2 linked regions of the Sus scrofa genome follow. The protein of the gene in region 1 interacts with the protein of each later gene in a pairwise test. Links are inferred from orthologs where the notes say so. Each region holds a gene or a part of one and is shown in the gene's direction. Other genes may lie near its edges. The genes, in order: LSMEM2 and LSMEM1.

Region 1 (4,281 bases):
AATTCCATAACACAGGGTGGTTTGGGTGTCTGCAGAACAAAGCCCTTCAGAGGTGCAGAAGTGAATGTCTGCCTCATGGTTATTTGGAGCTGGGAGTCCTTGAAGAACAAAGCTATTGCTAGTATGTGTGCAACTCGGGGAAAAGAAACCATTCTTTTGGTCGTTTAGACCATATGATGTCATAAAAGTCTTAATAAAAATGCTCCAGTATGATTTTGTCAGAGAGCAGAGGCGGGAAAGTCAGCTCACTATTTGTTCCGTATCCCACAAGTGGGTTGAATTTGATTTCAAGGAGATGGAAAATTTCCTTATTTGAAACAGCACACATGGGTGAGGTTGTAAGTACAGCGTATTGTTGTATAAGAAGCAGAACAGCTGATATAATTATACCTGGGGGCGGGAGTGCATTGGGGGTGTGTGAAACAAATGCCATTTGTGGAATTTAACTTAGTGTGCCCCATGCCTTGGGTCCCATTGTATGGGGGAGTCAGGTAAAAGCCCTGGGATAGCCCCCTGGAAGGTGCGAGTGTGCCTAGCAGAGGTCAAGGGAGTAGTGATTTAGGTAGTCATCGGAAATTGTAGGTTCAGGTGAAATGCAAGAGAAAGGCTACTAGCCAGCTGGGACTGTTGATGGCATGGCCAGCATTCTTGTAAATATTCCTCTTTGAATATGATTTTGGAAATGTTAAGTGAGTTTTCTTGTCATTGTCCCTATTCCACCCCTAGCCTGGGAACTTCCTTATGCTGTAGGTGTGACTCCTAAAAAAAAAAAAAAAGGGAAAGAAAGTCATTTTCCTGCCTGCAATGTCAAGGGTGACTCGAGGCTCCCTTGGAGCAATGAGGATGCATTGTCTTAGGATCTGGAGCCCACCAGGTCCTTGGGGCATGTTGGTTGATCATTTGGTCTGTAGGTCCCTCTGTGTGATGGTATCTCACCCCAATTTCACCAGGAACTCGGGCTGCTTAGGGTTGTTTCTTTGTTGCCCACAAGAGGGAGCTTGCAACAGGCCCCCCCCTCCTTCTGACAAAAGGCACACTGGTTTCCCCCCAGGTGGCTCCTAGGCTGTCTGCCTGGGTTTGTCAGCCCTTTAGGGTCCCCTCGACGACACAGTGGGTCAATCACAGCAGCCCAAAGCCGTGTTTTCTTCACTGGCCTCTGTTAAGTCTCACTGCTGAGGATGGACCTTGAAGGCCTCCTCTACCAAGGCTGACAGCGGGGTTTGGGGCCCAGCCTCAAGCTTTTGTAACTTTCTCCTGAGCGCGGGAGCAGACTGGGTGGTCAAATGCAGGGCTAAGGGCGATGTCCCTTGTGCAGACTCAGGGTCTTAATTGGTGCCCTTCCTGAATGCCTGTCACCCGGCTCAGGAAGACTGCTGGGTTTCCCTCTTTGGGTTCTGCGTCACTTCTGGGACCTTGTCAGAATCTAGGCTTTGCCATCCACCTTTTCATTGCTTCTGACAGACGAGAAATATACTGTCCCATCCTGGCCTGTGTGCTTGTGACCTTCCGAGTGTTACCCCTGCTTGAGCCATGTGGTGGTGTGGATTGGTGGCCACTGGGCTCTCTGTGTGGTTTAGGGGTGTCTTTGCCTCCTTCTGATAAAAGGCACACTGGTTTTAGCCCAGGTATTTTCTTGTGCACAGGAGTCCATTCAATGTCTTGGTTACCATGGGGGACATCACTGGAGGTATGAGGAGGTTTGTTCGGCTGAAGGCTCCATGTCCCTGCACGTGTGAGTAGCAGGGTGTCCTGGGAAAGACCGTGGCCCCAGGCCCTCGTTGAGGTACATCCTCCCCTGGGCTCCAGCACCAGGCAGAGTCCAGGCTGGTCTATGTGGGTCACTCCGCCCCTTCCCATGGTGTTGCCCCCTCTAAATATAGCCCAGTGGGCTGAGCTCAGTTCTATTTTCAGTGCAGGCTGGGAGGTGGCCAGGCCTTCTCCGGGGTCATAGGAGCCACTTCTACTCCCTCCTGTCCTGCTACTGGGCACGCTCATCGGCTCCTGGCTGCCCACCCACCCACCATGCCCGAAGGAACCCAAGAAGGTAGGAAAATAACTTGAAGGGAGGGTAAGGCCCCAATCCTCTGACTCTGTGGACCATGGAGAAACCTGGCCTCTGTCCCACTGACCTCATTTTCTTGACTCGTCATTAATCACTATATCCCAGAAGAGAGACCTGCCCCCGCTGCGCATGAAGGAACGGCTTACTGAGTCTGGAAAGCCTCTTCAGCTCAGGCCTATTCCTCCTGCAAGGGACTGCAGGGGGTGCTTAGAGGAGCTTCCCCACTTGGGGGAAGAGTAAACCAGAGCCTGTGCTTAAGTGGGCCAGGCAGTCTGGCCAGTGCAGTTCTTCCTTCGGGGAGGACACTGGGATTGGGGGTGGGCAATGGTTTTGGATAGCGTTTGGGTGCATGGCCCAGGGACTGGGAGTGTATAGGATTCTAGCCTGAAATGTGGGCTAAAAAGTTGGGGTCCCTTGGCCTGGCCTGTCTGACTTCTAGTTAAGACTTTGGTGGCTACCACTCATTGCCCCACTGTATTCAAGAGGGATGGAGGGTTGGAGGGACAAGAGCATTGACTTGGGAAGCTTCAGATACAGTGCTGCTCCAAGGCTCCAGCCTGATCTAATCACTCCTCCCATCACATTTTCAGCATTTTATACTGGATGGGAGGGGCCTGGCCCCGGGTGTGGGGGCGTCTTAACAATAACATTTACTAGGGTTTTTCCTGGTAACAGAATCCAAGTTCAGTTTAAAGTGTGTGAAAAGCACAGCCAAGTGCAAAGAGGGAATTTAATATGAACCTCAAACTACCATCACCCAGTCATAATGACAGCCAGTACCTGTTTTTGTTTCACTTTTTTTTTTTTTTGGTCTTTTGTCTTCTTGGGGCCACATCCACAGCATATGAAGGTTCCCAGGCTAGGGGTCAAATTGGGGCTGAAGCTGCCGGCCTACATCACAGCCACAGCAACTCGGGAGCCAAGTTGCATCTGCGACATACACCACAGCTCACGGCAACGCTGGATCCTTAACCCACTGAGCGAAGCCAGGGATCAAATCCACATCTTCATGGATCCTATTCAGGTTCATTAACTACCGAGCCACAATGGGAACTCCTGTTTCACTTTCTTTTGAGCATGGCAGAGGCCCGTTTGAAGCAAATCACAAAGGTTGAGGTACTGTACTGAAAGTGATAGGCCCAGAGTCCAGTCACCCTTGCCTGTGTCAGGAGGTATCCCTGCAGTGTCCCTCCATTTGACATCTGAAGATCTCAAGGGGCCAAGATTTAAAGGAGGGGGAAAAAAAAAAAAACACAAAAAACCCCAGAATACAATGTTTAGAAATCACAAAACAAACACTCCACTGGGTCTGAAAATAATTAAAATTACAGAAAAAGTACACAGATTGCAGTGACTACATGGGCAGAGGCTGTGAACTAGGAAGCCACACACATATTGGTCAGGCTCCCCAAGCAAAGAAAACCAACCAAATTGGTCAAGAAAAGCCTTTCCTCATTTCCCAACTTAGCAAATATATGTGTGCACTTAGGTATATTAAACTTTTTTCAGTGGAGATGCCTAATGGTGGCAATATTGTACTCTTTGGGTGGCTGTGGACAGCCATTCCTGAGGTCGCTTTGGTAATAGCCTAAAAGAAAAAGTCCCTGTCTTGGATCCAGTAATCCTACTTCTGGGAATCTGTCGTTAATAACTATGGGGAAATTGGGGAAATCTTTATACTATCATGCATGTCCTTTTCTAGGGTTTATTGGAAACAACCGAAATGCCCAGGCAGCCTAGAAGGGATGCCTGAGGGGAGACCTCAGAGGCAAGCGGAACAGTTTGATAACAAAGGCCGGTCTCCTGTGCGATGTTAAGTGAAAAACAGTAGCGTTCCCAGAAACAGAGCAGAATCATGCTGAGTACATCTAAAGGGGGCAGAGTGAGGCTGGGAGGGAAAGGCACAAGGCTGCCTAGAATGGGGCTGCTGCTGCTGGGGACAATGAAGAGACCCAGGCATAGGGTGTACAGGGAAAACTGACAGCAGAAAAGGCAGGAATGAATTTCATGGGTTGTGGGTTTAGTCCTCCCAGTCAACTGCACCTGCTATTACTGGGGGCGAAAGGGGTTGTTTTGGCTCCAAATCAGGGATCATTCTTCAGTTGGTGTTAGGTGCTTAGGAGCCAAATGCCCCCTCTCCTCCCTACCTTTTCTGAGCTCCTGCTGCTCCTGGAGGCCATCTAGGAGAAGAGAGGGGGTGAATCCCCGGCTGAAACACC
Region 2 (4,249 bases), on another chromosome or scaffold:
CTCCCTGAAGTATATTTGGAATTAGGTAATATCAATGTCTGAAGTGCTTCAGTAGTATCTCATCAAAAATACTCAGGGGGTGATGTGTTCTTGTTAATTAAAATTTCTGAAGAACTGAAACACCCTTTAAAATTTTTTTTTTAACTTTGAAAAAAATTAACTAGTTCATTACTTTTTGAACTCACATTTTCTTAGGGTTCTGGAAGCATATTTTTTACACATGCTAGTAGGTTTTAGGTTTTACTGGGAAATTGCTGAGTTTCAAGATTTTATTTGTTTGTTTGTTTATTTATTGTCTTTTTAGGGCTGCACCCATGGCATATGGAAGTTCCCAGGCTAGGGGCTGAATGGGAACTGTAGCTGTCAGTCTACACCACAGCCACAGCAACTCGGGATCCCAGTCCTGATTTCGACCTATACCACAGCTCACTGCAACACTGGATCCTTAACCCACTGAACAAGACCCGGAATCGAACCTGCGTCCTCATGGATGCTAGTCAGATTCGTTAACTGCTTAGCCACAATGGGAACTCCTGAGTTTTAATATTTTAGAGTGCAGTTTAGTCTGTTTAGTAAATGGCTGATTTTTTTTTTTTCAGATCTTCTATAGGTGTTCTTATTTTTTTATTTCTGTATTTGGTTTCTCCTAACTCTGGTCATATTTCTGTTTATTCTGTAGCTGTGTATTAAAGGAAATTTTAAAAATGTTAAAGGAAGTAAATAAATAGTGTGTTGTCACATTAAAGGCAGGTATGAAGTTTATTACATTGCTTTTACTAAGATCTAGATATCACATGAGGCTCTTTACCTCAATTTTATTTGTCAGTGTACTATTAACTGCCTCCAATTCTTTTGGAAATAGGAAGATTTAAACCCTAAATAAAATATTTTATGTGTTCCACCTTAACATAAGTCACTGGCTTCTAGACCTTTATACTGCACAAAAGTACAGTTTTGTATTAAAGCCTCATCAGTTAGAACGGTTCTCAGTAATATTTTCTCCCCTCAGCATCTTTATGGCCACAGGCTGCCTCACTTAATTTTGTCTTTCTGGGTGTTTATGCATAGTCGTCTTGCACACAAGATTTGAGGCATCTCACTAGCGTATGAACAATGTGATAAAAGAGAAATATTGAAAAGTCAATTACAAAATTAAAAAAGAGACCCAAGGGAAATATAGGCAGAAGTGAGAAATCTGAAGAGGAAAGCACATATGCATGTAAGCAGAGTATTAAAGCATTAAAATGGGGCCCACGGCAGACGCTGAGCTTCCTGGCAAGCAAAGCAAAAACAAGAGTTGCCCCCACAAGGGAGTATTTTCTTTTGGACAAGCAAAGCTTTTCTGGCCCTTCATTGGGAAGTAATTCGTGTGGGTGGTTCTTCAAGTGCCTGCCCAGCTTCCTGTGGGCTGTGATCCTGGCCAAGTCCAGCTCCCCAGCCCAGCGTCCTGCGTTTAAGGTCCGCGTTTTCTTCCGGGGACAATGAATCGTTCTTCCCAGGACACCGGCTCTCGCGGCCTTCCTGAAGAAAGAAAGCTTTACGTTGTGGATTCCATAAATGACCTAAACAGACTAAACCTCTGTCCTGCCGGATCGCAGCATCTGTTCCGTACGTGAGCCCTCCCAGGCTTGGCGGCCCGTCCTGGCTTCTAGGCCACCTAAAAATAGCCACCGTCCAGCCAGACCTGTGGGCGTGGTGGGGGCTGGGTGGGCATTAGGACGGCTCCGCGTTAGAAATGCTGTTTCGTATTAGGCAATTTGTGCTTTTGTTTTCTGAATGCTTGCCAGGCTTATGGGCTTTCTTGGCTCTTGGCAAGATTTGAACTCTTGTCTGCAAAAGTCCCGAAAAGTCCCTGTGGCCTTTCTCCCCCTGGAAAGGGGTGGAGGCTCCCGAGATGGGCCCCCAGAGGCTCACTCATCCTCCTGGCTGCTTTCGTGCCTTCTAGTGACCACAGGCAGGTCACCTGTGGTGCCCGCTTTCCTAGAGAGGTCTTACTCGGAGCGGATTGCTGAGAAAATGTTCCACGCGTTTACCTAGTTTTTGAAAAAATCATTAGTTTTTTGGGCAAAAGAGTCAACTTTTTTTTTTTTTTTTAATTCGAAGATTGCCCCAATTAAAGTATTAGAAAAAAGAGGGGGAGACTAAAATGAAAATCTGTTAAGTACCAAATAACTTAATGTGGGAGTTCCCTTGTGGCTTAGTGTTTAAAGATTTAGCATTGTCACTGCTGTGGCTCAAGTTTGATCTCTGGAATGCTTGCATGCTGTGGGCGTGCTCCCGCCCCCCCAAAACCCAACAAACTATAAATGTATGTCTTGTCCCTTAAGTATTACAAATGAGTTCTAAGATTATTAGAACCCCATCTTTTCTAGCTTCAGTGCTGACTTTCCAGCACAGGTGATAAATGCCCCCTTGGTTTGTTTCGCGTACACTCTTAAACTCTTACTCTCTCAATTTATATCTATTATTCCCCTTCTAAATAATTTTTTTTTTTGGTCTTTTTGTCTTTTCTAGGGCTGCACCAGAGGTATATGGAGGTTCCCAGGCTTGGGGTCCAATCAGAATTATAGCTGCCGGCCTATGCCACAGCCACAGCAACTCGGGATCCGAGCCGCGTCTGGGACCTACACTGGATCTTTAACCCACTAAGCGAGGCTGGGGATCAAACCTGCAACCTCATGGTTCCTAGTTGGATTCGTTAACCACTGAGCCACGATGGGAACTCCCTAAATCTTTTTTGAATTCTTGTTTTTCTCTTCATTTTGATTTGTTCAGACTTTCGCTTGTTTTCACTGCAGTCGGTCTCAATAAGCATAGGGGTTTGGGTGCTGGCCTGTGCCAAGGCTTTGATTAGGAAGCAAAGGCTGTGGAGGCTGTGACATAAGATGCCCCTGAAAAGTGTGGGACCTACACCACCCATCTGTCCATAATCAAGTAGCAGAGGCTGTGGGCTGATATAAAGTAGGAGAGAATATGGAAGGTAATCCAGTTTCTGTATCTCTTTTTCAATTTAATTTGGGTATTATTAGGCAAATAGGTCTTACAAAATGGTGACCAAGTGCAGACAATTCATGGTTTGGGTGAACCGAACTGGTTTATACGCTTGGTTGCCTTCTCAGTTCAGCTGCACAACATTTAAGAAAACCTTGCTTTCCGAGCGTGTCCATCCTGAAAACAGTTTTAAGAAACCAAAGTATATCAGGGTATTTTGTTATTGTTATTTAAATGAATGTAGGCATTACAGGTTATTTTATTTCTTTTCTTTCCTTGGCTGCTGCATCTGCCGCATATGGAAGTTCCCACGCGAGGAGTCACATTGGAGCCGCAGTTGCTGGCCTACATCACAGCCACGGTCACGGCAGTGCTGGATCCATGACCCACTGAGCAAGGCCAGGGATCGAACCCACATCCTCATGGACACTCTGTCGGGTTCTTAACCTGCCAAGCCACAACAGCAACTCCCCATAATAGGTTATTTTTTTTAATAGGAAACAAAGTTTTCTGGGAGATATCTCAGCGCCTTCAGCATGTCACCTGGAGTAAGTGGCCCACAGCCAGCTTTGTGTAACTCCTGGATCATTTTGGGAAAAGGGCAATAGCGCCTCCATCACCTTGACCTTTCTTTATCCCCCTCACCCACCTTCCAAAAGAACAATCCATGTCCTGCTACGTCAGTTGTTAACATGATCTGCAAAGAATTTTCCCAGTAGGGGTTAAGGAGACAACTGGACTCGGCTTGTTCTTTGAATACTAATAGAGAAGAGCATGAAAAATTCTCAAAGACCACCCGGCCCAAAGACATTCCTAAAACAAGTCTCTTTCTAGAGTGATCAGAGGGCAAAATGGACATATCTCTCACGCATGCCTCTAATGCTGGGGACTGTTCAGTTCCCTGTGAAGCTGTCTGCTGAGGAGTTTTTGTCTTTGTTGCTGTTTGTTTTTGCCTTAGCTCTGGAGGAGAAAATCCCAGCCGACAGCAGTAACTCAGGAAATGGAAGCCACGGGCTGTTTTTGGTGGGGCTGATAATTGTGCTGATTGTCAGCCTGGCGCTGGTTTCCTTCGTGATATTCCTAATAGGTAAGTCCCTTGGAGATGTTTCTCATCACGGCCGTGCCCTTCGTAGCTGGTGTTTGACTTTGCTCCTGCAACAAGGCAAGGCTTCTTGGCATCAGGGCTCACACTGAAGGACAGGGGAGTGCCAACACACGCCCAGGATACCCTGCTGCTCTGGGACAGGTTGCAGACAAG

The links.
Region 2: the proteins of LSMEM2 (region 1) and LSMEM1 interact in binary tests that used the Homo sapiens proteins (3 or more experiments, as listed by UniProt). The two-hybrid records come from large-scale screens. The link is inferred for Sus scrofa from reciprocal best matches to the Homo sapiens genes LSMEM2 and LSMEM1.

Annotation. Positions count from the first base shown.
Region 1 is NC_010455.5:32,751,243-32,755,523, forward strand, and holds the start of LSMEM2 (leucine-rich single-pass membrane protein 2), read left to right. Parts: upstream 1-1,282; 5' UTR 1,283-1,668; coding exon of another isoform or gene 1,669-1,718; coding exon 1,719-1,732; intron 1,733-1,911; coding exon of another isoform or gene 1,912-1,916; coding exon 1,917-2,044; intron 2,045-4,219; coding exon of another isoform or gene 4,220-4,281.
Region 2 is NC_010460.4:33,188,002-33,192,250, reverse strand, and holds the start of LSMEM1 (leucine-rich single-pass membrane protein 1), read left to right. Parts: upstream 1-1,340; 5' UTR 1,341-1,481; coding exon 1,482-1,608; intron 1,609-3,949; coding exon 3,950-4,078; intron 4,079-4,249.